Linked DNA regions of Drosophila melanogaster. The protein of the gene in region 1 purifies or fractionates together with the protein of each later gene. This does not show direct contact. Each region holds a gene or a part of one and is shown on either strand. Other genes may lie near its edges.

Region 1 (12,558 bases):
GGCACCGGTGCCATCATTGAGTATCACGGCAAGGGTGTTGACTCTATCTCTTGTACAGGCATGGCCACCATCTGCAACATGGGTGCTGAGATCGGAGCTACCACCTCTCTGTTCCCCTTCAACCAGCGCATGGCTGATTACCTGAAATCGACAGGCCGTGCTGGCATTGCCTCCGAAGCCCAGAAGTACCAGGCCAAGATTCTGTCCGCTGACAAGAACTGCGAGTACGATGAGCTGATTGAAATCAACCTAGACACCCTGGAGCCCCATGTTAACGGACCATTCACTCCCGATTTGGGCCATCCCATCAGCAAGCTAGGCGAGAACTCGAAGAAGAACGGGTACCCTATGGACATCCGTGTAGGTCTTATTGGCTCTTGCACCAACTCTTCGTATGAGGACATGGGTCGCTGCGCCAGCATCGCCAAGGATGCCATGAGCCATGGCCTCAAGTCGAAGATTCCTTTCAATGTGACTCCCGGATCAGAGCAGATCCGTGCCACCATCGAGCGCGACGGCATCTCTGAGGTGTTCGACAAGTTCGGCGGTACCGTTCTGGCCAACGCTTGCGGTCCCTGCATTGGACAGTGGGATCGTAAGGACGTTAAGAAGGGCGACAAGAACACCATTGTCACCTCCTACAACCGAAACTTTACTGGCAGGAACGACGCTAACCCGGCCACCCATTGCTTTGTCACTAGTCCCGAGTTGGTCACCGCTCTGTCCATCGCCGGTCGTCTGGACTTCAACCCGCTGACCGACGAGCTTACTGGTGCTGATGGCAAGAAGTTCAAGCTCAAGGCTCCCTTCGGCGACGAGCTGCCCGCCAAGGGTTTCGATCCCGGCCAGGACACCTACACTGCTCCCCCACCCGTAAGTACATTTAAATTCCCAAACTGATTTATATTGTTCTTAAGAATCAATATGGAAATCCCACAGAGCGGCGAAAATGTCAAGGTGGCTGTCGACCCCAAGTCGACGCGTCTGCAGCTGCTGGAGCCTTTTGACAAGTGGAACGGCCAGGATCTGACCGATCTGACTGTGCTGATCAAGGTTAAGGGAAAGTGCACCACTGACCACATCTCCGCTGCCGGACCCTGGCTGAAGTACCGTGGCCATTTGGACAACATCTCCAACAACATGTTTATCGGAGCCACCAACTACGAAAACAACGAGATGAACAACATCAAGAACCAACGCAACGGTAGCTGGGGAGGAGTTCCCGACGTAGCCCGCGACTACAAGGCCAACGGCATCAAGTGGGTGGCCGTCGGCGATGAGAACTACGGCGAGGGTTCGTCCCGCGAGCATGCCGCTTTGGAGCCCCGTCACCTTGGTGGTCGTGCCATTATCGTCAAGTCCTTCGCCCGTATCCACGAGACCAACCTGAAGAAACAGGGTCTTCTGCCTCTCACCTTCGCCAATCCCGCTGATTACGATAAGGTTTGCGACTCTTAGCTTCTGTGACTAAGGTCATATTAACCATATCTTTGTACTTCAACAGATCCAGCCCACGAGCAAAATCTCCCTGCTCAACCTGAAATCCCTTGCGCCTGGAAAGCCCGTAGATGCCGAAATCAAGAATGGCGACAAGGTCGAGAGGATCAAGCTTAACCACACCCTGAACGACCTACAGATCGGCTGGTTCAAGGCCGGCAGCGCTCTCAACCGCATGAAGGAGCTGGCCCAGTAAATGGTCCTGGACCTACTTAAGACACCCAGTCAAGAAGCCTGATCCCAACCTTCTTCCTGTAGGTGAACACACTCAAATTCACAACGGAAGCAATCGAATTATGGTATTGTTATTCAATTCTTTTCAAATTGTTTATATTATATTTTGACTATATCGAGTGTGCAGCTTTAAAAGTGAATTATGTAGCCGAACGATAGCGAGAAATTGTAAGAGTTTTATATATATAATTATACACAATTTTATTTTTAATTCTGGCTATGCATGCGTTTCCTTCAATTTTTGTTCTTTTTGAATTTGTCCAAATGCTCTACAGATTGCCTCTACTATGAAACTGTTTTAAGTGCGAATAAAACTCAAGTAATATGTATTAAACCGATTCTTTCATTTAATAAACAACAGTTAAAACAAAAAAGCGGACAATAAGTGCCGTCAATTCATCCCGTGTCCTCTATATTTTCTTCATTATTAACATAATTTTATCAATTATAAGACGTAAGACACAACAATTTGCACAATAAAGCATAATATCAATAATAGAATCTACTGGGGCAGATTACTTAATTATTCACCCATAGCTTTTGGAAAATATGTCGAATTGTCAATCAAATATAAATTATTAGTAAATCCAATTCTAGGACTATGAAACGCAGAGCTCAAAGTAAAACTTCCGTTGCTTCCAGCACGGATTTCTTTTCACTCTCCGACAAGCCATCGTTGGGAAGAAGACGAGCCCTACTGGCTGCAAAACTTAAGCGTCAGGAACAGAGTACAACGTCCTTTGACTCCAGCACAGGCTCCTACACTTATACAGACGCCACTTCTTTGCGAAAGACCCCCATCACCTTCTCACCTAGCCCGGAGTTCATGAAGACCGCCAAGGCTAAATTAAAGTTAATCGCATTGTATGAAGATCACAAATGCTTGTGGAATCAGCGCAACAAAGATTTCTTCAATTTCGAGCTCAAAGACAGAATCTGGGATGCGATTGCCGATGAAATGAAAGCGGACTCGCCATCTGGGTTTTGGAAACATATGATTCACAAGCTTCGCTATAAAGTTGAGATGGAGCGCATACAAGAGCAGGGTGCAAAGTTTTCGGGTGAATCGCCGCAGCCAAAACTATTTTATTCAGATAATCTGCTGTTTCTAAATCACATGTTTGACCGAGAAGGGGGAAAACCCCCTCGAGAGATTGTATGTTTATAGTTAACGAACAAATCACTTTAGTATTTATTCTACTTTTTACTCAGCCAATGCATCTTAAGCCTTCGGGACCTACTCTCGAAAAGAATCCGTCTAGAAACCTGCGACATGTTCAGGAAAAACGTAAACGTACGCCCATTAGAGAAAAGATGGCTTCGCTTGAGAAGTTGAGGAATCTCCAAAATAGCAAGTTTGTTCTCTCCCGCGACGCTTTTCAAAAAATTCAAAAAATTACTAGTGGCGGTCCCTATTACTTGACAAAAACAAAGATTAGACCATAGGCCTTGATTTGAATATCTCAAAATAAAAAAATGCAATGCAAACACATTTGAATCGATTTTTCGCTTTATTACATTTCTTGTATCATAATCGTTTTGTTTTTCTGGTTTTGCCATTTTTTAAATATTGACGTTTTATATAACAATTCATAATTTTAGCTTACAATATTTTTGTTTTGTATTCTTAGAATCGTTTATGCCTTTTGCCATGAAAACACTTCTCTCTCTAGCAAATATACAATTTTCGAAACTTGTGATTTTGCAATTATTTATTATGTATATTATATATATTATATGTATATAACTAAAAATGCGTAAATTAATTTTTTTTTGTTTGTTACGTGGTTTGTGGGCACATTCCTTTTATCAAAAGGAACAAAACATGAAAATGTACATAAGTGTTATTGGCAAATAGTTTACCATCTGTTTTAGATCTTGATACACATACGTGCATCATCGATATAAAGAACCTGAATTGTTTTTAAATTTCGAAGCGGCAGTTGCAGTTCTGTATTTGCGCCTCATGAATTGCTCGTTTAACGTGTCTCTCTAAAAGGCAGGAGCAGCTGTGAAGTGCTCGAAGGCAAGGGTCGATCCGTCCGCCGTTGGATCTTTATCCTTCCTGACCGTCCATTGATTGGCCATTGTCCTATTATCGAGAGCCCGCCGCTTATTGGTTGGTTGATTATTTTTTCTCTCATCTATTTTTATGAAATGGCTGTTAAAAATTTTGGTTTGAACGCATCATTCCCATTCGGTGGTGCCCGGCGGCTTGGCTGTCAAGTCGTACAGCACCCTCGAGATTCCATCCAGCTTGGATATATCGCGTACAATTTGATTTAGGACCTTTGAGCAGGAAAAGATTAAATATACATTTTTCAGAAAGATTGAAAACTGACTCACTTGCAAAGGCATTTGCACGGATCCGGGCTCAGCCGGCACACCAGTCATAAAGTCGTTCGTTATGAACGGACGCAGCACTACCGACCTTCTGCACGAGGGTGTGCGGTTAATGGGATCGCGGTCAAAGTGCACGGGTATGAGAACAACAGGCATCTGCGAGATCTTCCGGTATAGTCCAGCTTGCATTATGATCTAAAACGGTTATGATATAATACATTTTATTTATTTCTATGACAAATCCACTTACTTCATTGGCAATATCATCGGCTTGCCTCAGCTGCGAAAGAACTACAGTATTCAGTGTGGTGTGCGTAATATCCGTCACTAGATACTGTACGGGTTCGCCGAAGATATAGCACACCCTGTTCACGTTGTGCAGAATTCGCGGTATGATTTTGGCGAGGAAGAGAAGATCCTGCCAGTTGGGCTCCTGGCTCGTGGATAGGCCTACTACGTAGCTATATGACCGTTTATCACCTTGCACGCCCACTGATCGGATGGGCAGCAAAGTTGCCTGGATCTGCGAGTTCGATGAGATACGCATAAGGTCTTTCTGTTCCGCCTCGCTCGTGGCCGCCGTTACGCGGTTGATCAAAGCATGGTTCTTCTGCAGTTTATTCTTGTAGTCTACAATCACGCGGATAATAACCTACAATTAAATAGTATATTTATTATAATAACTTTGACAGCAATTAATTGTTAACATGCCTGAGTTTCTGAGTAGTCCTTTTCCATGTATGCCTCCTCAGCGCAAAGGACGCGGATTGCCAGGCCAGGACCCGGAAAGGGTTGCCTCTCCACAAGCTCTTGAGGCAGGCCAAGATCATTGCCAAGGTCGCGCACTTCATCCTTATGAAAGTCGCAAAGGGGCTCAACCACACGTCCTGCGTTACGAAGCTCTCTGAAGAAATGAATTACAAAAAATAAGCTGATCACTAAAATTTGGTTAGGAATTTAGACTTTTGCTTTTTTACCTGATCAGATCCGTGTCATTGTGGTGCGTTTTGATTGTTTCTGCATTCGTGCTCACCATGCTAGAGGCGGACTCGATCAGATCTGGTCGGAGGGTTCCCTGGGCCAACATAACTTCTTCGGGCTTTAGTTTCAATTCGGCTACTACATCATTGGTCACCTTGACGAATATATCACCAATTATCTTGCGTTTTTCCTCCGGATTGTATGTCTGACATAACATCGGCGTTTCCACCACGGAGTACTGTCCGGGCCTCTTGACCTGCGTGGTGCCTTTAAGGAACGTGTAGCCTTCTTTTCGGACGATTAAATCAATGCCAATATCGCGCAGTGAACGCTCCACCTTTTCACTTTCCTTCTTGCGCATGAAACCTTGAAGTAAGGGATAAAATATTAGGTTTTAAAGTACAAATGATATAAATTCGGTATTCACCGAGTTAATGAATTATTTGACGTAGAAAAAATATAAATGAATAAATTTCGCTAATCTGTCTACTGTCATACCATTATCTACATGCACGGCAATTATCTGATGAGGGTACAAAGCACGGCGGAGCAAAGCTGCACAGACACTCGAATCCACGCCGCCGCTGACCAGGAGCTGTAAAATGTAGATTGTATTGAGATATTCATGTCTTGATTGAAAATTTATTTTCCCAAACTCACCAACACCTTATTGTTGCCCACTTTCTCACGGATATAGCGTATGCACTCCTCCTTTCGACTACCCATGGTAAAGTTAGGTGTCAGTTCGCAGATTTCGTACAGGAAGTTCGATAGCATCTGTTTGCCATTGATAGTGAGGTCCACCTCAGGATGGAACTGTACGCCGTAGATGCGTAGTACTTCATTGTAAATGGCTGTCACAATGCGGTTTGTAGACCAGCCACCAATCTTCAGATTCTCGCCTACCCTCTCAACGCTATCTCCGTGGGTTAACAGCACGGACTGTGTGCGACTGAGGCGACTGCGGGAAACGAAGATGTTATGTTTGTTAATTGCATGTATTAGAATAATTAATGGTAATGATAGATAATATGTTAGGCCACGTGTAGATCAGTTTATAAACTACTCTAAACTAAACTGTTCTTGGCTTTAAAATTGTTCTGGCAGCATTGTATCAGCGCTTAGGTAAACGCATTTAAGCCTAAGCACTTTCTTGTTGCTGCTTGTTTTGGGAATCAATATTTCCTGGCTCACCTAAAGAGCGGGCACGAGGTCTCGATCTCGATATTTTGTTGGCCATCCTCTCGAACATCCTTCTTGAGCACTGTGCCCCCGAACTCTTTGTTGATTAGCTGCATGCCGTAGCAGATGCCCAGCATAGGTATTTTTAGCTTGAACAGATCGGGATCATAGCTGGGCGCATCCTCAGCGTAGACTGAGTTGGGTCCGCCGGAGATGATGATGCCTCGATAGCCATTGTTGCGTATCGTGGCAGCTGGCGTATCCAGAGGAAGGATATCCGTCTCAACGAAGAGTTCGCGTACCTTACGGTCGATAACCTGCGGAGAAACCAGGACCATTTTAAGAAGAGGTTAAAACTACTCTTGGTTTTAAGCTTACCTTGCCGTACTGTGCTCCCGCATCAAGTATAACAATCTTATCATGCCGCAGGCCATTCTCTGCTGTGCCCAGAAAAATGTTTGAGTTCATTTCTTTATCGTTGCAGCACTGAAAAGAGCAAAGATTTGAGTGTCAGTCAAGCAATCGCAGAAACAAACACCGAATCTCGACTGGCTGGTAAACGCGCTTCTGCTGCTTATTTATACTCCAATTGTGGCTGCAATCGACGCTACAGAAACAAGGCTAAAAGCTGGCTAGGAGGTGGGGAAAATAGGTTTCGGATTGGGGCAATCGCGGAGATTGAGATTTGTGGTACAGAAGGCTCACATACCGGCAATATCTTGTGGAGCACTCGCAGAAACATTCAACATGCAGCTGGCCAGGACGCTCTACGATAGACAATAAACATTGGCAAATATTTTCTTGTCACAGAAAGATGATTTGTGCAATGTGGAAAGAAATTTACAAGCGACGAAAAACAAGGCCGAGAGACGCCTACCAAAAATGATTCGCTGTGCATCGCGACGATTACGTTCTGTGGGTATTATTTATTTGACCAAATATAAAACATTTACGTATATGAATAAGCCTATAACTTAATCTTAATAATACCTGTTTATTTAACCGTGGTTAGAATTTAAGACAGAGTGTATTCACAGCCAGCATAAAATCATAGATACCATAGGAAAAAGTGCTCCAAATGATCATAGTTTGGTTTTTTAAAATAATATTAAATAGATATAATTTTTGTATAATTTTGGTCAACAGACTGAATTTGGATTAACAACATGAAAAACGAATTTTTGTGCCAGGAGTATCTGTCAATGCTATATACTTCTACATACTAAAGTAGATTATCAAAGCATGGAAGTTAACATTTAATTTTATAGACACATTTGTCCCATCAAAGAATTTAGAAAAACAGCAGGTCAGGAACATGCTTTTCGAATTCCCGAAGTAATCGGCGACTTAGTACATATATTTTAAAATACAAATTTCGATGCATGAGGATGAGGATGTGAGGAGGAAACGGAACGTAATGGTGATGGGGTCAGGGGGGAGGGCGCCGGCTACTGACCGCCAGATGACAGGCGAAAATACTAAGAGGAGAGTGGCAGCGGAAGCGAGAGAGAGCGAAAGATGAGCGGAGAAAAATGGCAGGTAAACGAAAACAGAGCTGAAAAGTGCACAAGTAAAATAGAAAACAAAAATAAACAACAACAATCCAGGAGACAAATCGACGGTAGCAAGTCTTCTTGTTTGCCATTTATTTTCTCTTGAAGTGTGTAAAAACGCAGCAGCAGCAATATGAAAAGCCTCTCCGAAGGTTAGGAGTGCATTAGGTCACTGAAGCGATGCGATGTCTGTGATGTAAGCCGTGCTCCTCCTTTGGCTCTCTCTCATTTTTGATAACAACATGCAAGAGGTTATCAGAAACGGCACAAACCACAGCAACAACAACTAAAGAGGGCGGCCGCGTGGTTGTAATTTAATACACATGCAGAAGGCACGCACACTTACACACGTGGAGCCGCCAACAAGCGGCGCTTATAACCACAAAATGGCCACGGGATATATTTGCAAAACATTTAAAAAATTGCAAATGCGGAGAACAAAAAATCGCAACAAAAGCAAAGGCAAATGCGGTTGAAGCTAATTTGCGAATTCAACGGGCGGGGTGCGGAATTGTGGGCGGAGCAGCACCGCATGGCGATTTGGCTGGGATCGGGGATCTTTTTCGCCATATTGCGACTCTCACCTTCTCTCGTTTTAGCCTGGCTGCGGTTTTCCAGAACCGGGAAGTCCGTCGGCAAGGCCGTGGAATACCGTGACAAGCAGCGCAAGACTTTGTCTTAAGACGAAATTCGCGATCCGTTGTTTGCGGTCCCCCGTTTTCCTTCCTCACGCACACACTCAAAATTTCTTCGGCTGCTGCAGCTTCTTTTCCGCGTATCCAGGGCTGCTCGACACAGCTGGCGATGAAATCCCTGTGATTTTCACGGCTGCGTTATTATGGCCGCTTCCAGGGACTTTCCTTTTGGATTTCCTGCAGTTTTTTCGCGAATTAAAGCCGAAAGATGACTTATTGACGAGCGGATGACCATATTTCGGATTTGGGAAAAATCCAGCTGTGCTGCAAACGAAAAATACCAGCTGTGAACGTTTTTGGTATTAATATTTACCAAATAAATAAATTTATATTTATTTCGAAAACAATGAAAATTCCTTAATAACATTACATTACTTCTTTATTAGGAGTGCTTAAGTATTCTTTTAAATAATGAATTATAATTAAAATTATAATCTGTTTGTACAGTGTTGACAAACGAGCACTTTTTGTAGAACCATATACATTACCCGGTCACACTGAGCCCGCCAAAACAGATATGTTATTGCGCTTATTTAGAAAACCAAGAAAAAACACGAGAACACGTGAAAATACAAATCTACCCAAATGAAATGGGTCCTGCTCAGAAATCCGGAACAGATATTAGTATCGATGATGAGGAGGAAATACTGGCTCTGGAAAAACTACTGGGTGCAGCAGAAAACGAAAATACAAAATCTGCAGAGTCAGAAAAAGCAAAACCCACCGCACCCATTTTGGTGCCAAAACTACGAGAAGACAACAGTTTTGCTAATGCCTTCACCTTCGAGAAGATCGTGAAACCGGAAAAGCAGAAGAATGCTGCTATCATTAAGGAACCAGAGCTGGACTCGTCCGACGACGAGGAGGTAAAGAACTTCCTGGAACGAAAGTACAATGAGTACGGCAGTGATATAAACAAGAGACTGAAGCAGCAGCAGGAGAACGCCTACGAGTCCAAGGTGGCGAGGGAGGTGGATCAGGAGCTTAAGAAGTCTATCCACGTGGTTACATCCACCCCGCAACCCCTGAAAAATCCGCATAATCCTATTAAACGGCAATCGGCGGTGAGCACCACGTTTCAACGTCCTCCGCCAGTCGCTGCCGCCGTGGCATCTACATCCCAGTCAAGTGCTCCCGTATCTGCTGTTTTTACGGATCCAGTCTTCGGACTGCGCATGATCAATCCGCTAGTCTCCAGCTCACTGCTGCAGGAGCGCATGACGGGCAGGAAACCTGTGCCCTTCTCAGGCGTTGCGTATCACATCGAGCGAGGCGATTTGGCCAAAGATTGGGTCATTGCTGGCGCGCTGGTTTCCAAAAATCCTGTAAAAAACACCAAGAAGGGTGATCCCTACTCCACGTGGAAACTATCCGATCTACGGGGAGAGGTTAAAACGATCTCACTTTTCCTTTTTAAAGAGGCCCACAAATCCCTGTGGAAAACAGCGGAGGGTCTGTGCTTGGCTGTGTTGAATCCAACTATTTTCGAGAGGAGAGCGGGAAGCTCCGATGTGGCCTGCCTATCCATCGATAGCTCCCAGAAAGTCATGATCCTGGGTCAATCCAAAGATTTGGGCACATGTCGGGCCACCAAAAAAAATGGGGACAAGTGCACTTCGGTGGTTAACCTAACCGACTGTGATTATTGCATTTTTCATGTAAAGCAGGAATATGGCAAGATGTCCCGACGTTCTGAACTGCAATCGGCGACCGCAGGTCGTGGTATCAATGAACTAAGAAACAAGGTTTTGGGTAGGTAGACTTTGATTTTGAAGAAAACTCAATATAACTTAGTTTTTTCTTTATGTTAAGGCAAAAACGAGGTATTTTACGGCGGCCAAACATTTACTGCAGTTCCCGCAAGAAAAAGTGCCAAGTTAATCACCAAGGAACGTGATCGTCTGAGTATGCTGGCTGGCTATGATGTTTCCCCCTTCGCCCATACCGCTAACCACACCTCAAAGCCCAAAACAGCCGAACCCACTAAAATTCCATATGCAGAACGTGGCGGTCCTGTTTCCCGTTTGGCTGGTGGTGTGGAAGCGTCTAGGAAACAGAGAGTCCAAGATCTAGAGCGGTTGCGTCTGCTTAAAGAGGAAAATGAGCGCTTTGAAAAAAAGAAGCAGGCGGAGGGCCATGTCTTGGGAAGTGATAACAAAAAAGAATCTGAAGCAGGCACACCCGCTGTCAGTATGCCCACTACACCTGTTCCAGATAAATTCAAAAATCGAGGCTTCTCCTTTGATGCCAGTTTAACGCCCAAGCTTTCCGGTAGCGAGAACTTTTCCTTTGAAATCAATGTAGGATCTCGCCAGGCACAAAATGCTAAGCTGAAAGCAGCTGCCCTGCTGAAGAAGAAGCCACTGGAGAAGATCAACCCCAACTCCACACGAGGCAGTGAAAGTGGGAAGAGAAGAGCCATCGATGAACTCAACGAGAAGTTCTCTAGCAGCGCCAAGCGACAAAAAATTGATGAGGACGATCGGGAGTTAATGCGCAAATCAAGAATCGAAAAAATAATGGCAGCCACCTCATCGCATACGAATCTCGTGGAAATGCGAGAGCGCGAAGCGCAGGAAGAGTACTTTAACAAGCTTGAACGCAAGGAAGCGATGGAAGAGAAGATGCTGACCACATACAAGATGCCATGCAAGGCCGTCATCTGCCAGGTGTGCAAGTACACAGCCTTTTCCGCTTCCGATCGCTGCAAGGAGCAGAAGCACCCCTTAAAGGTGGTCGATGCTGAAAAGCGATTCTTTCAGTGCAAAGACTGCGGAAATCGAACTACTACCGTATTCAAGTTGCCCAAACAGAGCTGTAAGAATTGCAAGGGGTCGCGATGGCAAAGGACGGCTATGATACGGGAGAAAAAGATACTGACTGGTAGAGAAACTCTATCCGTGAGAGGAGACGAGGAAACCTTTATGGGCTGCCTAGCAGGCAGTGCTAATCTCAACTTGCTGGTACCCGATGAAGAGTGATGCCCCAATTGGCCGCTATCTGTTATATTTGGTTTATTTTATTTTATATTATTTCAAATAATTTTTAAAAGTTAATTTAAACATATGCAGTAGATGCAAGTATTTACATTCATTAAAGTCATAAAAGTCATCGATAAATAAGTACATTGGTTCGAATACCTAAATATCTAGAGTGCCTGTGAGATTGTTTAAGATGTACCAGATGTACTCAATGATTAATAATGAAGGTTACTTATGATTGTTTAGCTTATGGCGTAAATAAATTGAAACTTATATTATGACTGCTATTACATTAAATGGACATTATAAATCAACCTAGCTTACTTTAGCAGAGTTTTACAATCTTAAATTGAAATAAATATCCAAATACAGAAAACCCCTTTTGAAGCACAAATATTCCTTTAAAAACTTTATTTATTGAGTGTAAAAATTCTTTGGGATAACCATTCATTCTTCTGGCATATAATAGGACGAACTTGGCAATTTACAAATAAAGTTAATTATCTTTTAAGAATATGGCTTTTTGAAGCAAAAGTAATAAGAAGTAATAATAAAAAAAACTAAGGCTGTCTTTGGCTAGTTAAAATAGTGTATAAATGCTTGGGAGTATTTGAAATCGAAATCGGTTATCTTAAAATCCATATTTGGCGTCAACGTAAAGCTAATTGATTATATGTAAAACTAAGACTAATCAACAAACAGTTTGAACTGAAAAACAGGCGTGAGATTAGAACTCTGGGAAACACTATTTCTAGACTGCATCCTCAGCTTGCCATCCTGGACTCACCTCCTTCGTTTCACTGAGATTCAGCAAACTAGAGAAACGGAACGAGATGGTCTTGGACAGATGCTTTTCAAACTCCCTGCTGTCCAGGTTGTCTGGGATGAGACTCTTGTTGGTCATATCCAGGTAGGATCGACCCCTCTTCACGGGGACAGAATAATGTGGCAGTGAGGTGGTCGCTGGAGGTTCACTGGTCATGTTGCTGTAGCTTGGAGTACAACTGGATTTCCGAATATTTAAGGGGAATCGCAAATCGTTTTCGTATCGCAAAACCTGCCCGTTGGCGGTAGCATCAAGCAAAGGTCGTG
Region 2 (10,798 bases), on another chromosome or scaffold:
TGAGAGGGAGCACAAGAGGTTGGAGCCCAAGAGCTCGGAGCACAAGAAACCCACCAGCAGAAGCTGAAGCAGCAGCAGAGGCCCAGCCGGCAAACTCACCACGCGGCAAGTACAGTGGCTCACCGGCCGGAGGGGGGTGGCCCCCAACGCGTGTGCCGCTGCCCAGAGGCTCCACCACTGCACTGCAATGAGAGCGATGAGAGGGAGAGCCGCGAAGAAAGCGGAAAAACAAACTAGAGTGGTGAGTTCGACTCCGGCGACGCGTACTCGAAATACTCCCTCTCATTCGTGCATCGGTCAACGTGATGTTTTGCCATTCAACACACAAAAAACGCTCACTTATCACGCTCCACGTATATTCGCCACTTTCCCATGAACTTGTAATAAGAATTCTAAATTTGCACTTCGCCTCGTATCTAGTTTTTGTCAGATTTCCGCCGCTGCGGATGCGATTTGAGTGCTATATGTGGTGGTGGCTCTGCCGTTCGCCTTGCTTTTGTTCTGATTCGTCTTCTCATTCTCCGAATTACAATCTTTTCGCTTGCGCCATGAAGTAAATTATAATTATAATTCATACGCTGTCAATGTGGGGGCCGTTCACTAAACTTTTCACAGCACCAAAAACGCACACACTCTTATACAAGTGTGTATTTTAAATAATAATTACCAAATAAACACTTATTTAAACGGATTTCTGGGCAATCCGCACTCGGACGTACTCGATTTTTTCCGTACGCGAATCGCTGAAAAATCCAGCAGCGCTGCGATCCGACCTCTCTGCTGGTTTTTTCAATATGACGGCAGTTGGCCAACACCAATGTTTCAGTGGGACCGCCCTGTCCAAAAATACCAAATACCAAAGTTCAATATTAAATCATTTTAAACAGTCATTTAAACAATCAACCAGTTAATTTAACGGAAAACTAGCTCGGCAAAATTAAAAAATATATAAATGTTATAAATGCAAAGAGGTTCTTACAATATCGGACTTAAGCATTCATAATTTTATGTCTATTTAACATTTTGCGTTATTTGTTATATATATAAGATCATACAAAGTTTTGCTTACAGTTTTATTCTTTATTCTTTATCAATTGCAAAAAATACGTATCTTTCTAATTTTAGTAGCCAGCAAAGAAAGGTCGATTCCAAAAACGCAATGTAAAGTATATTTTAAACAATATGGTAGATTCAGCTCGTTCGATCCACTTTACTGCAGAAACTCATATACTGTAAAAAGTGCTTATAAATTGATGTAAAAAGTAAAATGAATTAGTTCATCTTAGAAAAACTTTTCTTAAGTCAGGTGTTCGTTTGACGTCCGCCGTTGCGTCTCTCGAAAGTTATCTGTTCTCGACTCACTTGCTTCAAATAACGAATATTCCGGAACATTCCAGATTGAATCACATACATCTATCTATTTTCAATAGTAATAAAAAAATAAGGAGGCGGAGTATTCTTGCATGCTATCAACTGGGTTCTTACGGTTACGGACATACAAATCTACACTTTAATGCTTATGGTTTAGGGTTTTATATGGCTATCGCTACAGGTCTTCGTCCATGTGCTCCTGCTCAGACTTGTTAAGATTCACGCTGCACGTGTTGTTGTTCTCGAAGAACTCCAGATCGTCATCGTAGTCATCCAGCTCCTGGACCGCCGGTGCCGCAGCCATGGGTGCCACTATTTGGGGCGACACCATCTTGACTTCCGGCATCGGCATCGGCATCTGCAGTGGCGAAGGCTGCCAAGGGACCAAGGCGGTGCAGGGACGTGGTATGGACTTGATTAGCCACTCCGGTGGTATTACAGGTGGAGCGGAACCGGGACCCGATCCTGGCTTAAGGCCATCACAAATTACGATGCGATTGGCATTGCGCAGTTTCTGCTCCAGTTCCATGGCCGCCATTTGATAGGCGGGATTGGGGTGGTGGGTCTTCCCGGTGCTGGTGGATGGTATATCATCCGTGGCCAGTCCGCCCGTAACGCTGGCCACGCTGTTGTTGTTGCTAACAACGGCCGTGGCGGCGACATTGATCTTCGGATCCAGCGATAGACCGCTGAAATGCTGGGTGATCCTCTCCTCGGTTATAAGCATTTTGGGTGGTCTGCAATGAGTTCTGTGGTTAGTATTTTATGTGGATGTTGTGTTGAGGATATAGCTTACAGCACTGCCGGTGCCGGCTGCTCGGATTTTCGCTTATGCTGCCATTTTACCAGATCATTCTCCACCGAATTGCCGAAGGTGCTGCAGCTCCCGAATCCGAAGTCCATGATACCGCCCGGAGGAGGCGCATTGAATGGGAATGATTTCCGCTTGCTCTGGGGCTTCATCGCCAGTCTGTGGGCATCAGAGATGCAGTTGCGTGGGCAATAGTTATGCAAAGGAATGGTGTTCAAAATTGCAATGGAGATTGGATTTGCGACTTCTTGTTTTCCTTTTCACTGCAGTGTGGCCAGATGGCGTTGGCATAAATAAACCAAAAAAGATGCATCACACTTGCACTGCTAAGACACACTCAAACGTTAAGCGTTGAATTTACAACAGTATCAGATTATTCATACAGATAAAATTGTACGTGCGCAGCATTATCTTCGTTTTATTCTTGGTTATTGAGAAATCTGCAATTTGTCTACCCCTGAAATATTTTAATCTAAGGCCAATTTCGAAATTTCGAACTAGAAAGGTACTAAAAAATACCCGTTTTAAGAGCCATAAAAAGGGCTGCAACGCGCTTCTTTTAAATATTCCAAAGCGACAAGTGTGAAACCAAGTTCTTTTATAGAATACTTTAAACAAAAAGTGTTGCAATATTTAACGAGCTTAAAAGTATATTAGTGCAATAAACTCTAATAGGACATCAGATATTATTCAACAGATCAAACGTTTTCAGTTATTAAAAGAACTCGATTCAAAATGCGATTCACAAGGTGAGTTTTTGAAATCCGTACTTTGTTACATCTCCATTATTCATCGAATATAGCTATATATTAATTATGCCATGTGCTTCTCCTACAAGCATTTTTAGTTCTTAATTATTGTTTTGAAAACATGAGTTACAATGAAAAATAAAGGACAAAACATTTTCTTTCTGAAAACTTCGAAAATAGTTCTATAGCTTAAAACAATTTTGACAATAAATTCACAATAATTTTCTATCACGCATCCTTGGGACACAAATTTGTAACGACCAGAGAAAGTAAAATGCTCGTCGAAATATTCCAGTTGTAAATTAAACAAGCTTGTTAAAGCATGACTCCCATTGGGCAGCCCACTCGCACTTTCCACGGGGGTTATCTCCGTTCGAAAATAACATGTTTTTCAACCCAAAACGGGAGCAATCATCGTCCGCGAACAACATTGTTAATGACGCCTGCATTGTTTTTCCTCTGGCTAAAAACAAAAATCGCCAGTTACCAGGCGTTTGTGCATCAATTCCATAACTTATGGAATAGGTAATGGGTGATCAGAGGGGGCTGAACTCAAAGGCTTATCAGTGGGAGACGTTGGTGGCCCCCTGTGGAGCAAATTGACGTCACCGGCCAACAGAATCCAACTTAATCTCCGAGTGCAGTAATCGGAAATCAGATTTCGTCATCCGCCGCGTCGAAGAAAAACAAACTATTGAAAAATAACTCGTGTCGGAAATTTTAGAACAGCAAATATTCCCAACCAAAATCGTAATCATGTAACTGGTAATAAAAGCAACAAAAGTTGTTCTCCACGTCTTTAAGAATTTCCTAAATAAATATTTGTGCACACAAGGCGAACTTTTAAAAATTTTCATGTTGAGAAAATAAAATATGTTCAATATGTGTTTAGCTATTTTCCGCGTTGTTTCAAAATCGAAAATCCATATATGCACATATGTATTTGTTCCGTTTTAAGCCATATTTATATGCACACAGTTCAAAACTTTTATCGACAAGTGTTTAAAGCTTTTAAGTCGCGCTCGCTCGCACACGCATATTTAGTGCGCTGAACCGAAAAGCTTTTATCCAAAATATACAAACACGTGCGAGGCTCATTCAGTGATCTGTTTCGTTCTATACAGTCCATCGGTATCCGACAATCAGTGCAGTTCGAATTTTCCACCAGGAAAATTTCGCAAAAGCCAACAAAAGAAGTCACAATAAGGTATGCTGCTAGTGAAAATTGGCTAACAAAAATCCATAAAAAATACATAATTGACCTTCAAAGAAATTTGAATAGGCGTTCTTAAGACACGTTTGCTTTTATCAAGCCAAGAAAACGAATTTTCCTTTGTCCGCATAAAGAGCTAATTTTGTAGCCTGCCTATTAATAACTCTAGTCTAGACGCAGACTAGTGGTTGCAAAGTCAAGACCCCGATTTGTTTATGTTTTTCCTGCTAATTGATTATCAATATAAACAAACTCATCGTCAACTGATAAGGTGTAAAAGCATTTACACACACACACCCACACACCTTGGCATGGTAACAAGAGTAAGAGAGGAACGGCGAAGTGAGAAGATTGATTAACACATCAAAAAGTGCAAAGGGATCGTAAATACATACATATATACTCTAAGTGCAGCCTGGCAACAGATCAGCTGTTTCTGCGTGAGTGTGCGTGTGTGTGTGCGCGGGTCCAGTGGGAGTGGAAACCGACTGAATTGCAAATTAGTTCAGTGGCGCATGCTTATGTAGTTTTTTTTTATCATTTAGCACAAGTGTCTTAGGATAAAAGAACATTCCGGTGTTTTAAATTTTCCAACCATGTTGCGACGTTCTATAGGATCCATTTCGGTCTTGGCTTCCCGGAATTACGCCGGAAAGTCTAACTTCAGGTGTGTATGCTCATAAGAAAGTGAATCGGGTCCGAAATAAAACGTAATATCATACGAAGAAAAACAAAGCGTGCGCTAGAGATGAGTGCGTGACGAAAGTGAATTAAGGGAAAAGCCAATGGAAAGCGTAAAAATATATTATTAATAATACTAATATTCGGTACTTGCATTGCATAATTATTATTATTTTATAACACAGTTATAAGTTGTTACGCCGGTTCTCATTATAAATTTGTATTAAAATTCCTTATATCTTTATATTTATATAAGTGTTGTATTATTTATATTAATATTTTGTATTATATACCTTTATATCTTTTTGTCGAAATAGGTTAAATTATATTTATAAAAATTAATCAAGAATAATGGGAACAAACAATCGCGTACGCTTCCATCCCTAGATTTGTAGAACATCTGATTGGGGCGTTGCCACCCAACTCGTTTTATCTGCCGGTGGCAGCTCTGCCTTGTTTTTATTTTAGTGTGCGCGGTGTGTTGAAATCAGGTATTCAAATAAATGAATTTGAACCGTAGTTTCCGTGAAAAGCTGACCCGAAAGCTCGGCGCAAATAGCTTAAACCTGTTATCAGGGCAGCGAGCGTTTTGCTCGCAACTCGTGAGCGATACTACTTGTGTTCGCGCAGTGCTTCGTTCATTTTCGTTCCAGCAGTGGCGCACTAAAGTTCCCCGATTCGCTGCGTCGTTTTTCCATAAATTTGCATATATGTATTAGTTGGGTGGAATACATATAAACAGTGTGATTTCGCTCTGTAAACAACAACCGCGAATCCAGAATTCCGTACATGCTTATAGTATAGCCGATCAAAAAAATCACACTGAGTGGTGCGCCAGAAAAACCCGTGAGTCATCTCGACGTGGCCGCCGCAGATAATTTCCCATCCGCCGAACATCGGGGAAGTACCTAAAACGAATGGTCAGCCATCGGCGGAGCTCGTTTCGATCATTAGCGTTCCGATCGGCGAAGGCAGCGGATCACTTTTGAGTTGTTAAGACGCTATTGATCAGAAATATTGGATTGATACGGACTATGAACATGAATCAGTACTACGACCTGGACAATGGGAAAAATGTGATGTTTATGAACGATGCATCCAGCACCAGTGGCTATAGCAGCAGTACATCACCCAACTCCACCAACCGATCCTTTTCACCAGCCCACTCCCCGAAAACCATGGAACTGCAAACGGACTTCGCCAATCTTAATTTGCCCGGCGGCAATTCACCACACCAGCCGCCAATGGCAAACTCACCATACCAGAATCAGCTGTTGAACAACGGCGGAATTTGCCAATTGGGTGCTACCAATTTAATAAACTCCACTGGCGTTAGTTTCGGCGTTGCTAATGTCACCAGTTTTGGCAACATGTACATGGATCACCAGTACTTTGTGCCCGCTCCGGCCACTGTGCCACCGTCCCAAAACTTTGGATACCATCAAAATGGCCTGGCATCTGACGGCGATATCAAACACGTGCCGCAGCTGCGGATCGTTGAGCAACCGGTGGAGAAGTTCCGCTTTCGGTACAAGAGCGAGATGCATGGAACACATGGATCGCTAAATGGCGCCAATTCGAAGCGGACGCCCAAAACCTTCCCGGAGGTTACACTGTGCAACTACGATGGACCCGCCGTCATCCGGTGCAGTTTGTTCCAAACTAACTTGGACAGCCCACATTCCCATCAGCTGGTCGTGCGCAAGGACGATCGGGATGTGTGCGATCCGCATGATTTGCACGTGTCCAAGGAGCGCGGCTATGTGGCGCAATTTATCAACATGGGCATCATACACACCGCCAAGAAGTACATATTCGAGGAACTGTGCAAGAAGAAGCAGGATCGCCTGGTCTTTCAGATGAACCGCCGCGAGTTGTCCCACAAACAGCTACAGGAACTGCATCAGGAGACAGAGCGTGAGGCCAAGGACATGAACTTGAACCAGGTGGGTAAACCAGCGCGTAAACAATATCGAGTTGCTTGCTTCGATGAGGTGAATATGCACGTTTGCATTTATTATTCACACGTTTAATTGCTCACTTTAGAATGCTTTAGTCAATTAATTATAGGTTGCATTTGCTACCTTTTAATCTTTTTATTTAAGCAGTCTGTAAAGTATCTACTCGTTTAGCTCGAATTATATAAATTTCTCTGCTAAAATAACTGAGCAATATAACATCGAAGCAATTAACTTACTGAAAAGCAACAAAGAACTCACTAAAAAAGTAACACCAACTTTAGGTGCGGCTCTGCTTTGAGGCCTTTAAAATTGAGGACAACGGCGCATGGGTTCCACTTGCACCGCCTGTATACAGCAATGCAATCAATAACCGCAAGTCGGCACAAACTGGAGAGCTTCGCATCGTCCGCCTGAGCAAACCCACTGGCGGGGTGATGGGCAACGATGAGCTTATTCTACTGGTGGAAAAGGTCAGCAAGAAGAACATTAAAGTGAGGTTCTTCGAGGAGGATGAGGACGGGGAAACCGTGTGGGAGGCATACGCAAAGTTCCGCGAATCGGATGTACACCACCAATATGCCATTGTGTGCCAGACGCCTCCGTACAAAGATAAGGACGTGGACCGCGAGGTCAACGTGTACATCGAGCTCATTCGTCCCTCCGACGATGAGCGCTCATTCCCGGCGCTGCCCTTCCGCTACAAGCCACGGAGCGTAATTGTGTCGAGGAAACGCCGACGAACCGGGTCCTCTGCCAATAGCAGCAGTTCGGGAACAGAAAGCTCTAATAACTCGCTGGATCTGCCCAAAACGCTGGGCTTGGCGCAGCCACCAAATGGCTTGCCAAACCTTTCACAGCATGATCAGACTATAAGTGAGGAGTTCGGACGCGAAAAGCATCTAAATGAATTTATTGCTTCCGAAGATTTCCGCAAACTTATCGAGCACAACTCTTCTGATCTCGAGAAGATCTGCCAGTTAGACATGGGAGAGTTGCAGCACGATGGTCATAACCGGGCGGAAGTGCCATCGCATCGAAATCGTACAATTAAATGCTTGGATGACTTATTCGAAATTTACAAACAGGACCGCATATCGCCAATAAAAATCTCGCACCACAAAGTGGAGAAGTGGTTTATCGAGCATGCTCTGAATAACTACAATAGAGACACGCTCCTGCACGAAGTGATCAGCCACAAAAAGGACAAACTGAAGCTGGCCATCCAGACGATACAGGTGATGAACTACTTCAATCTGAAAGATGTGGTCAATAGCACTTTGAATGCGGACGGTGATAGTGCCCTGCATGTGGCGTGCCAGCAAGACCGAGCGCACTACATACGACCTTTGCTGGGTATGGGATGCAATCCAAATCTGAAGAATAATGCCGGAAATACCCCACTGCATGTGGCCGTCAAGGAGGAGCACTTAAGCTGCGTGGAAAGCTTCCTTAATGGAGTGCCAACCGTACAATTGGACCTCTCGCTAACGAACGACGATGGTCTGACGCCTTTGCACATGGCCATTCGACAGAACAAGTACGATGTGGCCAAGAAACTGATCAGCTATGATCGGACCTCGATTAGCGTGGCCAACACAATGGATGGTAATAATGCACTCCACATGGCAGTTCTGGAGCAAAGTGTGGAGCTATTGGTGCTCATTCTGGATGCCCAAAATGAAAACCTTACCGACATCCTGCAGGCACAAAATGCAGCCGGCCATACTCCCTTGGAATTGGCCGAACGCAAGGCAAATGACCGGGTGGTCCAGCTGCTGAAGAATGTGTATCCGGAGAAGGGAGAACTGGCCATGACCTGGATTCCATGTAAGGTCAAGGAGGAGATCGATTCATCGTCGGACGAAAGTAGCGATGCTGGTCAGCTGGAGATCAAGTCCGAGGAGATGGACATCGAAACAAAGGACGAGGATTCCGTGGAGTTGGACCTAAGTAGTGGTCCAAGAAGACAGAAAGATGAATCCAGTAGAGACACCGAAATGGACAACAACAAATTGCAGTTGCTGCTCAAAAACAAATTCATTTACGACCGGCTCTGTTCGCTGCTGAATCAGCCTTTGGGACATGGGTCCGATCCCCAAGATCGGAAATGGATGCAACTAGCCCGCCAGACGCATCTGAAGCAGTTCGCCTTTATATGGCTGGGCGCGGAGGATCTGTTGGATCACGTGAAAAGAAAAGGAGCCTCTGTAGAGTTTTCCACATTTGCTCGTGCCCTGCAGGCAGTGGATCCACAGGCTTACGCCCTACTGGTTAACCCAACTTGATTATGTATTGAATGTTGATCAATAAAGTACCTTAGTTTTACAAATACTATTCTCTTGTGGAATGAAAAATACGCGAAACTAGGATGCCTGGGATAGCAAGCTTTATTTTTAAATATCAGAGCATTAATTTATTTTCCTTTATTAGCATTTATTTAGTTTCCTTTATTATTCCATGGAATCTATTCTTTAGAATAGTTCTATAAGCAATCTAAACTTGTTCCCTCAAACAATTACCATCGGCGCCCTGCATGAGATCACTAGCAAAAGGGGATCCATCGATAGCTCGGCATTAAAAAGTACATTCTAAGAATGGGGAATCACTAATTTTTCATTGCCGCTCGCGCACGCCGCTTGGTAAACAAGTGGGTGAATCATACATGTACTTATGCGCCTAAGTGTGTGTTGTGGGGGAATTACTGTTGCGTAACTGCAGTGACAGGCGGGGATTTACCGACAGCCCTTATCATTCCCGGTTTATGACCTTTCCTGCTATATTTTTTCAAGAATATCGCAACTAAATAATGTTTTAAGGAATAGTACAGTGTAATCTCATTCAATTAAATAATATTATGATCGCATTCCAGCAACATGGCTCAAATTATCGATGGCAAGGCCATAGCCCAGGAGGTGCGCACCCAACTAGCACACGAGCTCAAGGGAATGGAGGCTGCTGGCTATCCGAAGCCCCATCTCACGGCCGTCATTGTGGGCGAGGATCCGGCTAGCGAGAAGTATGTGGCTAACAAGATGGTCGCCTGCCGGGAGGTGGGCATCTCCAGTGAGACCAAGAGATTGCCCGCCTCTACCACGCAGGAGGAGCTGCTGCAACTGATTGCCGATCTGAACAAGGATCCCCAGGTCACGGGGATACTGGTGCAGCTGCCGGTACCCGAGCACATCAATGAGCGCACCATCTGCAATGCCGTCGATGTGGACAAGGATGTGGATGGCTTCAATGAGGTCAACATCGGACGCACGGCTCTGGACATGGAGGCCAATATTCCGGCCACGCCGCTGGGAGTCAAGCGACTGTTGGAGCATATGAAAATCGAAACTCTCGGTCGTAACGCCGTTGTGGTGGGACGCTCCAAGAATGTCAGTCTACCGATGGCAATCTTGCTGCACGCGGATGGCAAGTATGCCACCAAGGCAATGGATGCCACGGTGACCATCTGCCACAGGTATACACCGCCCAAGGAACTGGCTCGCCATTGCCGCCAAGCGGATATCATTGTGGTCGCAGTGGGAAAGCCGGGTTTGATCACCAAGGACATGGTTAAGCCCGGAGCCTGTGTCATCGACGTGGGCATCAACCGCATCAAGGATGAGAGCACTGGCCAGTTTAAGCTGGTCGGAGACGTGGACTTTGAAGGTGTGTGGCTGATCTATTAAATCACTAAAGACCAACAAGATTGATTCATTTCCTCATCACTTTGCAGAAGTTCGCCAGGTCGCCGGCCACATCACTCCTGTGCCCGGCGGAGTTGGTCCCATGACGGTGGCCATGCTGATGCACAACACGCTGAAGGCAGCCAGGAAGCAGTTCGATGATCGCAAGTCCTCCTGAAGATTCACCAGTAACTATCGTGCTTCGCTGGCCGAGAAATAGTATTTTTATTTAATCCCCTAAACCTATATTAGATAGTAAAGTTACTGACCACAAGCTAACATGACATAAACCCACATATTTTGCTATATAAACAGAAATAATGAAATACTACTATTTC
Region 3 (8,958 bases), on another chromosome or scaffold:
CACAAATATGACCAGGGCCAGGGACAAGAGTCCTCCGTAGAAGGCGCCCTTGGTATTGGCCTGTTTGCAGGCGATTCCCAGCACGAAGAGACCGAGGGTGACACCACCAATCAGTCCATTGAGGGTAAGCGTGGCCTGCAGAACTCCTCCCAGGTGCTCCACGATGAAGACCAAGCCGAAGGAGGCAATGCCAAAGCCCAGGGACATCCACTTGGCATAGGTGGCTCCCTTCTCCGGAGAGATTTTGATGTTCATGCCATTGACCAGCAGATCTTCGCAGGTCACAGCGGACAGGGAGTTCAAGGCAGAGGCCACGGTGCTGTTTTTGAGAAGGAAAAACTTTGAATAAGACTTCCATAAGCTGTTCTGGAGTTTAAGAGCTCACCCCAAACTGGCAGCAAAGATGCCAGCCACAAAGATTCCCGCCACGGAGCTAATATGCTCGTAGGTATTAATCACGTAGTAGGGCAACAACTGATCCGTGGCTGAAATGCGTCCAGCAGTCAAGGGATCGCAGTCCGCATAGTGGGTGAAGACCATCAGACCCGTGTAGAAGTTCAGCAGGAAGACCACAATTAAGCCGATAATGGCAAAGCCCAGAGCAATCTTGGCTAGCCTCAAGGACTTCAAGGACATGCATTTCTGAACGGACGCCTGGTTGGTGCAGAACAGCGAGGTCCAGTAGAAAAAGCCACCAATGACCACCGACCAGACGGTGTGACGTGTTGTGGGATCGGGATCCATGCTGCAGAATTAACCAGAATTGTTAAGGTCCTTGGATTCATTTGGCTTAACTCACTTGAAGAACTCCAAGCGATTGTGATCGGAAGCAGTCTGAAAGACCTGGATGGGATTGCCACTGTAGAAGCAGCCCAAGCCCACGATCAGTACCAAGGATACAGCCAGGACAGCAGCCTAAAAGGATTTAGATATATCTTCTCGTATTGATGAGTTCCACCATCTCGTTACTCACCTGGAAGGAGTCGGCAATGACTACAGCCTTCATGCCTCCCTGTGAGGAGTAGAAAACGCAGACCACATAGATCAGGACCACGGCGATTTTGGTGTCCAGTCCCGTGGCCTTAGACAGAGCAATTGCCGGTGCCAGGACTGCCACAGCCGTGTAGAAGCACATCTGAAGGAGAAGGAGTCTATATATAAATCTCATTCATTTTCGAGTTAAATCCCAGAACCCACCTGAATGACATAGAGCACTGCACCCAGAATCCTGATCTCCTTGCCAAACCGAATGCCCAGATACTCATAGCAGCTGGTGAGCTCCATTTTAAAGTAAATGGGATAGAAGATCTTCACAGCAACCGGAATGACAATCACCATGGGTATTACGATGAGCACAAACTGGGTGCCCTGGAAGTACATCTCGGATGGATTTCCCAGCAGTTCGATGGCCGTGATGAAGCTGGTCGTGAGACTGAGTGTCACCGGGAAGATGCTCATCTCGGAGCCCAGCAGGAACTCGTTGGACGAGCTGCCGCCCTTCTGGAAGAAGCCATAGAAGATGCCGATGCCCAGCGAGATGACCAGCATGCCCAGCAGAATCACGTAGTCGTAGCCCGAGAAGGTGGCCTTGTGACTGGGCGCACTGCATTCCTCCAGCTCCGCGGATGCGGGAATCTGTTGATTCTTGAAGGCTCTCAGGAGCAGGGTGGCGGCATTATCGAACTCCACATGCTCCTGGGATTCACTGGGCGACTCACCGCGCACTATCAAGTACTTGTGGCTGGAATCCAAGGGAGCAGATCCTCCTGGAGTCGGAGACCGTTCCTGCAGGGCCAATGCGGTTATAGAATGTGCCAGGGCGCACAGGGTCAGCAACTTCAGAATGGTGTCCTGGGTGGCGAACATCCTGGATCACGAGCAAGGACTAAGGATGGGGATCGAAGGATGGCGATTTCCGGGAGATCACTTTCTCCAGCCGACTTTCCACCCGGCGACGTGTGCGCAAACTGAAACGAGATCGGATCGGAAGCGATTTAGACTTGGATCACTGGCAAGATCAAGGTTCGCAAAGAGGAATTGCAACGAGGCGGCATTACAAAGCACCATCGCACCGTGGGTGTCACACTTGGTGTCATCTTGGGGCCCATTAATTAATTAACCAAACGATCTGGATCTGCGGCTCTGGATCCGGAGGAGGGGAGGCCATCGACCATTGGCCAGCGTCTCATGTTCAAGTACAAATACATTATTTCCTTATACAAACAATTCCATTTGAGCGTAATTGCTTTATGATTAATATGTTTTCTTCATGGGGCGGCAGTCAAGGCAACGCTCTTCTTTTTTTTTTTTTTTGGGTGATATTTCTTTTTCGGATTGTGGATTTCGGATTCCCAGATCCAGAGTTATGGCTCTTTTGGGGTTACAAGTGGACGGGCGATGAGCAAGAAGGCCCAGCAGAAAGCTGCCTCAAACTGGTCGTTGATTTATTCAAACTGGTTATTTCTGGCCAAAAGAAATCGCACGGCTTGCAAGTGGTAAGGAATTTGTTAAGATATTTGATTTTATTTCACGCCAATTCTAGGATGTATTTCATTGCATAATGCTACTCGATGTGTAACAAACTTTTTTAATATATTTCAATTTCCTTGCTGATTTATGCAATTACTTGTCGTTTTAATTGTCAAGTATTTGAATTCATTACACAAGCCTTATCTTTTGAGTAACTTAAATTTATTACACATGCCTCCTCCGTCTCCTCTTAATTGTTAAATCATAAAACACACATTCTGCAACTGATCAACGATGGCAATCACTTCCCCCATTCAATTGATCCCCAACACTCGACAATTATTCTTGATGAGACCAGAAGCCATGGCGCCTCCTCACTCCTCCTGGCGCCTCTACTGCCCCCGCCCACTTTTCCGGCCAATCAAACCATTTGAGAAAAGCTGCTCCTGTGCGACATGGACATGTATGCACCATATGGCCTGAATGGCGAATAGATTGGGCTACAATGTTTGAGCGAAAATGGGGAGTGCGAGCGCGCCAATCGAGATTTAAGCGAATTCAACTGGTTTAGATCGGTGGCCATTGGACTGAGCCGGATTGCGCCGGTTTGGGCCAGAAATTCGCCATCGCTCGGCGAATCTTCGAAGAGCAGCTTCCAAGTCTCCGAAGGCAAGGCCGGAAACTAAGAGCAAAAGGCCCGACCACAAGAGAGATGTCCAGATGCACAGAGAGAAAATACCAGTAAGGAATGGTCTAGGCTCCTTCTAGTTTCTAGCTCATCGTAGAATATTTTATTCAAGTTTACAAACTTCTGATTTGAGTAATCTAAACTACGAAATCATATTTATTGCTCATTTGTTTGTTGGCTATTTGTGTTTGGGGTGAAACCCGTTTTCCTTGGTGGAGGAACACACGGGTCAAATGAATTGTGGGCTCTGGTTGAGGACAGGCGTCTGGCTTAATTGGTGGACTTTCGCCCAGCCCATTCCAAAGGCCCTTCGCTTCCATTAAATGGCATCATCATCGTCTTCGAGCCCAATTAATATGCGTGTTTTGTTTTGCTTTCCTCGGCTTTTTTTTTATCTCGTCTGGGCGAACTCGCTTCTATTCTATTATAATTAATTTAAACAAAATAGTCCGCTTGACAAGTTGGCAGAAGATACCAATCGCAAGCAAGGAGATTTTCCACGGCCACGACAGCTGCAAACATTACCTAGTTCAAAACTGGCGAGATTAGCCAGCTAAAAAACAGAGTGAAGTAACACAAGCGACAAAATATTAAAATGCCTTCGGAATGGGTATAAATACTTTCAGCTTTATTAGCTTGTTCGACAAATGCATTTTACAAATTGTTTTTGCCCTCGCAACTTTTTACTCTAGTTTTAGTTAGTCATGAGTAATTGGAATAAATTTCCTTTGGGCTAATGCTTTTTACTATTCTGATGTTCTGAGATATTTTGCAACTACCAATTATCAGTGACAATCGGTATGATAAATTTCGAAATAACTCACTGGCATGCATTGCCGCTTTCACTGAAAAACTGAACAACTTCTCACCTTGGTTAGTAATTTTTCAATTCGTCAAATTCGATATCCTTCGGTTGTCGTCTTCGTTTAGCTCTCAAATGGAATTAGGTTTGCTGCACTGTATCTTAGAAATGTTCTGAACTGGATTTGCAATATTGTGCCACGATTGTTTCTGTATTTCATTAACGTGTTTTCTTAGTTAGTCACAAAATGAAACTGATCACTGTTTGGATTTGGTTCCTCGAGCCGAGTCCTTGCCGTAGTTTTTTTTTCACTTCGAGCACTAGTTGTTTCCCTTTTTTCCCAGCTCGTCGTCGATCGCTGTTCGAACGTATTGACAATTTTTAAATGAATGAGTTTTGCAAGCGGCCGTTACGCTATTTTATACAACACCCAAGGCGGCGCAGGCAAATCACAGATCTCGGATCTCAGGCCTCGGATCTCAGATCTCGGGCTCCCAGCTTCAGCTTCGGGAACCCCACCACATCGAGATCTCTTTGGGGTCTGAAAAGCGAAGAAGAGAGAAAATCGATCTAAGAGCAGGCGAAGCGTCGCCGGATATGATATCGCCGATCTCCACGGAGAGGGAAACTCGATCGCCAGCCAATGGTCGTGTGGAGTGCTAAGATATAGGCAACTTATTTTCAACAGACTCTGGGCACTAAGCCTATTTTAAAAAATAAAACCAAAGACATTATGGTTCATACTATAAATGAAACAGATATTAAATATTAAATGTTTATTAATGTAATATTATATAACTTTAAATTAAAAGGTTAGTAGATTGAGAAAATGATAGGAAACTTATAATCAGGTAGGTATGTAGGTATTAAGTAAATGTATATAAAAATATGATGGGTATAAGTAAAATAAGCTTGAGGAAACGTTTAATTGAAAATCGTGTATAAATGTTTGCCAAACCGTTTCCTAAATTGCTATCAATTAATTTCAGGGAATTGAAACGCTCTGATTCATATGCGAAGATTCATTTTCAATTCTGCAGAAGACGCTCCACGAATGGCCGGAAAATATCCGGTATTTTCCAACTCCTTTGCATATCCCTCGATGGCGATTGTTAATTGTGGCAAGTTGAGCCAAGTGAAATGCGCTGTAAACAAACATAAAAGTTTAATTGCTGGTTCTTGGCCAGTTTGGGATTGCGTGATGTGTAAATATTTCCATTTGTCTCACCCTTTATTACTTTTTAAGTAACTCGAGTCACAAAGGCAAAAAGTGCGCCAATTAATAATGGAAACGATTATATCTTTCGTTTTTTGTACACTTGTCGCCTCGCCTCAATTGCTGGCTATGTGGTGTTTTACTTGGATAACGATAACGAGTTCGATCTGGTACGATTTTGATCAGGAATGACACTCTTTCTCCCGCTAATAGAAAATTATTTGTTTACAATTCCTGTGCGCCAGTGTGGGTGTTTAATTCTAATTGAAATGTATTCCCAGTTTGAATTTAAATTTGAACTGAAACGGCGCCGGTCAGTTCAAAAAGAGTTCAAATCGCAATAAATTGATAAATGTAAAATGTATGTACATATCTAGTATGTAGTGGCAAAAAGAAAGGGGGTCTCCAAATATTCAGCAGGTACTTCCCCCCAAGCGGAAAGTCACCAAATCGACGCCCATTTTTCTAAAGGTCAGTGAGTTAGCTAGGCAGATATGCACTTAAGCATGAAGCGTGTTGCATTAATTAAATATGCCCGCCATGTCGTTAACTAACAGTCTCATGTAAATCTTGGCCATTCAACTACCTCAGCCGACGAAAAGCAGTTAAAAGCAGTTCGGCAAATGCGTCTCGGTGTTTAGGCCCGAAACGATCCCATCCCATGCCATTCCAATTCCATTCCATTCCAAATCCCCATCCCCATCCATATCCAAAGCAAATCCAGCTAACTCTGTTCCTCGGATGCAAGTGGCCGAAGACGTCACAAAACTGGTCGAGCCCCTCGTCCGCCAAGTGGTTCTTTCGGACTTTGGTCCGGTTGGGTGGGTATCAAATCACATCACATCAGATCCGAACGGTTTTTCAAACATTACAAGACAATCTTCACACGTGCTGGCTGCGTGCTGTCGAAACTGAAAATACGCAATACCAATAAAAAGAATTTTGGATTCGATTCCGGCATTACACAAGATCAAGCACCCCTCCTCCGTCCTCCCTCTATCCATCGTATGGGAATTGGAGAAAGCGTAGTAGTCAATTAATTTACTAATGAGAGTGGGCGTTGACATTGCTAAAACACTTGTTTATAAAAACAGCACAGAAAAGAACATTTTCCTTTTCACCAAGGAACCCAATATATATGTTTAAATTTTTTGCAATCCAAAAAAGCTTAAATGAAAATGAATTTCTTACTTTCAATAGTTTTTTCCAATATATAGTTGTCTAACAATAAATTGCTCCATTTCTTTCTGTGTATTAATATTTTCAATTATCGAATGTCTCAATTAGTTGCTGGCCTTAATTCTGGCTTTGCGAAGTCATCGCACTTCCGTCATTGCAATTCAATATTCACCATATATATGTAGTAAAACTTTCTTAATATTTCAAATTGCGGGCCTTGTTCGATAGCGTTGCCACTCTGGTTTTGCTGAGCTGCATAGGCATCGATAATATTTGTAAGCAAAGTATCGATTATTTTCAGATACTTTTGTCCATCTCTAATTTACCATACTTTTATTTAGGAAATATTTACAAGGAATAAATACAAAGATTTGCTTATTACCCGTGGATTATAAGTTAAAACCACGATGAGTGCAGCCACCGCCGCCGCCGCCGCTTCTGGGATCCAGAGCACAGCGGGCGCCATTCCCATGCGCAATGAGAAAGGTAAACAGCGAAGCTCGATCCTCACCAGAAATTGTTTATAAGCTGCATATCTCTTCAATAGGTGAATTGTCCATGCAAAAGGTGAAGGTGCAGCGATACATATCCGGTAAGCGACCCGACTACGCCCGTGCGGACTCCAGTTCGGAGGAGAGCGACGACGATGACTTCATTGACACCAGGAAGCGCCTTGAGCGCCACAAGGCGGAACGGCATAAGCTGGAGCTCTCCCGTCAAGGCGGCAGCGCGGAGGGCGAAGAGCGGGCGGCGGGTGAGGGCCAGGAGGAGGACGATGCCGAGGTGGACGATCCACGCCTCCGAAGATTGCGGCAGCGACCCGTAGACATGGAGGACATGGAACGTGAGCGGAGGGAACGCCACCGACACATCCACGAACCGGAAATCATGGAGAGTGACAGCGAAGACGAGGAGGAAGACGAGGGAGCACAGGGAGCGATTCAGCGGGGCACCAATAAGATCACACTGGCATCCGAATCCGACACGGATGCGGAGCTCAGCGACACAGAGCTGGAGAACCGGCGCACCAAGCTGAGATCCCGCATGCTGCAGCAGCAGCGCGAGGAGGAGGTTCTACAGAAAGAGGATGAGAAACAGTCGGAATCGTCCGAATCAGAAAGCTCCGAGTACGAGGAGGAGACCGAAAGCGAGGAGGACAACGAACCCCGCCTGAAGCCGCTCTTCGTCCGAAAGAGAGATCGTGCCACCATCCAGGAGAAGGAGCGAGAGGCTCAGAAGCAGAAGCAGCTGGAGGCGGAGGCCAAGCGGGCAGCCAAGGAGCGCAGAAGAGCCACCCTGCGAATGGTCGAGGAGAGCGTCAAGAAAGATCTGGAGAAGACCAAGCCGGAGACCAATGAGGCCTGCATCGAGGACGTGTGCACGGACGACGAAAACGACGAGGTGGAATACGAGGCCTGGAAGCTGCGTGAACTCAAGCGAATGAAGCGGGATCGCGAGGAACGTGATAAGTAAGTGAACATCAAACTGCTCTTAGAATTCCTTTTTAACAATTCTTTCCCTTTTCTTTCAGCGTCGAACGCGAGAAGCTGGACATTGATCGCATGCGCAACATGACCGAAGAGGAGCGACGCCAGGAGCTGCGCCAGAACCCCAAGGTGGTCACCAACAAGGCCACCAAGGGCAAGTACAAGTTCCTGCAGAAGTACTATCATCGTGGTGCCTTCTACCTGGATGAGGAGAACGACGTCCTCAAGCGCGACTTCGCCCAGGCCACGCTGGAGGATCACTTCGATAAGACCATTCTGCCCAAGGTGATGCAGGTGAAGAACTTCGGCCGCTGCGGCCGCACCAAGTACACTCATTTAGTGGACCAGGACACCACCAAGTTCGACTCGCCCTGGTACGCCGAGTCATCCAGCAACATCAAGTTCCACAACGAACACGCCGGCGGCATGAGGCAGCAGTTTGACAAGCCCACCGGCTCGAAGCGAAAAAAGATGGAGTAGTGTTAGACGTATGTAATTGATGTATTTGACAGGCATTAGGAAAGTAACAAGTAAATATTGTGCGGCCACAGTTATGATGGAACCAAAACTTCATATACAAACAATTATATATAATACAAATATCATAAGTTTAAGGTATGAACGAGATTTCGTCTGGGACTTCGATGTGTGATGTACAATTTTGGAATAATGGCTAACGAATGATAACAAAAAGCGGAGAACACACAAAAAAAAAAACTATAACGTTTAAAGTTTGAGCGTGTGCTCCTGTAGCATTTCAATGTTGTGTTGAACGAGCGCCTGCATAACAGCCTCGGTTTTGATGAAGTGCACCTTTTCATAGTTGTTCAGACGTCGCTTAGATTTCGTATCCTTGCTGGTGGTGACCACGTACAGATCCACGCTGATGGCCAGCGAAGGCGGTTGGGCATGAACCTTGCCGCCGGCGCTGTGAATGATGACTGTGGGAGATTACCGATTAGCCACTAGTTGGAATAAGATTTCTAGTTAGGCTTGCCTTTCATTTCGTTGGCCTTTGGCACTATGTCTTTGCCGAGCATAAAGTGCAAGCCATACAGCAAGCGAGGGTGTTCCAGTACGGAGGAGGGTTTGAACTTGTAGGTCTCCTCGAACGTTG

Evidence for each region.
Region 2: the proteins of bur (region 1) and Mst85C purify together in Drosophila melanogaster (affinity purification with mass spectrometry, with the first as the bait; one large-scale study listed by BioGRID). This does not show direct contact.
Region 3: the proteins of bur (region 1) and Mfap1 purify together in Drosophila melanogaster (affinity purification with mass spectrometry, with the first as the bait; one large-scale study listed by BioGRID). This does not show direct contact.

The regions. Positions count from the first base shown.
Region 1 is NT_033779.5:21,170,956-21,183,513, forward strand, and holds bur (burgundy), read right to left. Parts: upstream 8,729-12,558; 5' UTR 8,375-8,728; exon of another isoform or gene 7,455-8,374; intron 6,724-7,454; 5' UTR 6,706-6,723; coding exon 6,616-6,705; intron 6,555-6,615; coding exon 6,250-6,554; intron 6,222-6,249; exon of another isoform or gene 6,085-6,221; intron 6,017-6,084; coding exon 5,716-6,016; intron 5,651-5,715; coding exon 5,554-5,650; intron 5,422-5,553; coding exon 5,052-5,421; intron 4,979-5,051; coding exon 4,786-4,978; intron 4,727-4,785; coding exon 4,325-4,726; intron 4,270-4,324; coding exon 4,078-4,269; intron 4,021-4,077; coding exon 3,919-4,020; 3' UTR 3,227-3,918; downstream 1-3,226. Other genes in the region: mAcon1 (mitochondrial aconitase 1), read left to right, coding at 1-873, 940-1,443, 1,505-1,693; CG31627 (uncharacterized protein), read left to right, coding at 2,333-2,887, 2,944-3,177; Mcm10 (minichromosome maintenance 10), read left to right, coding at 9,076-10,237, 10,298-11,466; Ret oncogene, read right to left, coding at 12,218-12,558.
Region 2 is NT_033777.3:9,042,497-9,053,294, reverse strand, and holds Mst85C (Mst85C), read right to left. Parts: upstream 4,651-10,798; 5' UTR 4,540-4,650; intron 4,139-4,539; exon of another isoform or gene 4,048-4,138; intron 2,932-4,047; coding exon of another isoform or gene 2,918-2,931; exon of another isoform or gene 2,740-2,917; intron 2,475-2,739; exon of another isoform or gene 2,342-2,474; 5' UTR 2,335-2,341; coding exon 2,168-2,334; intron 2,109-2,167; coding exon 1,547-2,108; 3' UTR 1,064-1,546; downstream 1-1,063. Other genes in the region: Rel (relish), read left to right, coding at 5,860-6,771, 7,068-9,071; Nmdmc (NAD-dependent methylenetetrahydrofolate dehydrogenase), read left to right, coding at 2,918-2,931, 9,656-10,443, 10,511-10,638.
Region 3 is NT_037436.4:1,934,415-1,943,372, forward strand, and holds Mfap1 (Microfibril-associated protein 1), read left to right. Parts: upstream 1-6,653; 5' UTR 6,654-6,761; coding exon 6,762-6,840; intron 6,841-6,901; coding exon 6,902-7,823; intron 7,824-7,885; coding exon 7,886-8,321; 3' UTR 8,322-8,458; downstream 8,459-8,958. Other genes in the region: CG5687 (uncharacterized protein), read right to left, coding at 1-319, 386-745, 800-915, 974-1,135, 1,198-1,866; CG46523 (uncharacterized protein), read right to left, coding at 4,084-4,179; mu2 (mutator 2), read right to left, coding at 8,568-8,782, 8,839-8,958. UniProt on the Drosophila melanogaster protein: Required for pre-mRNA splicing.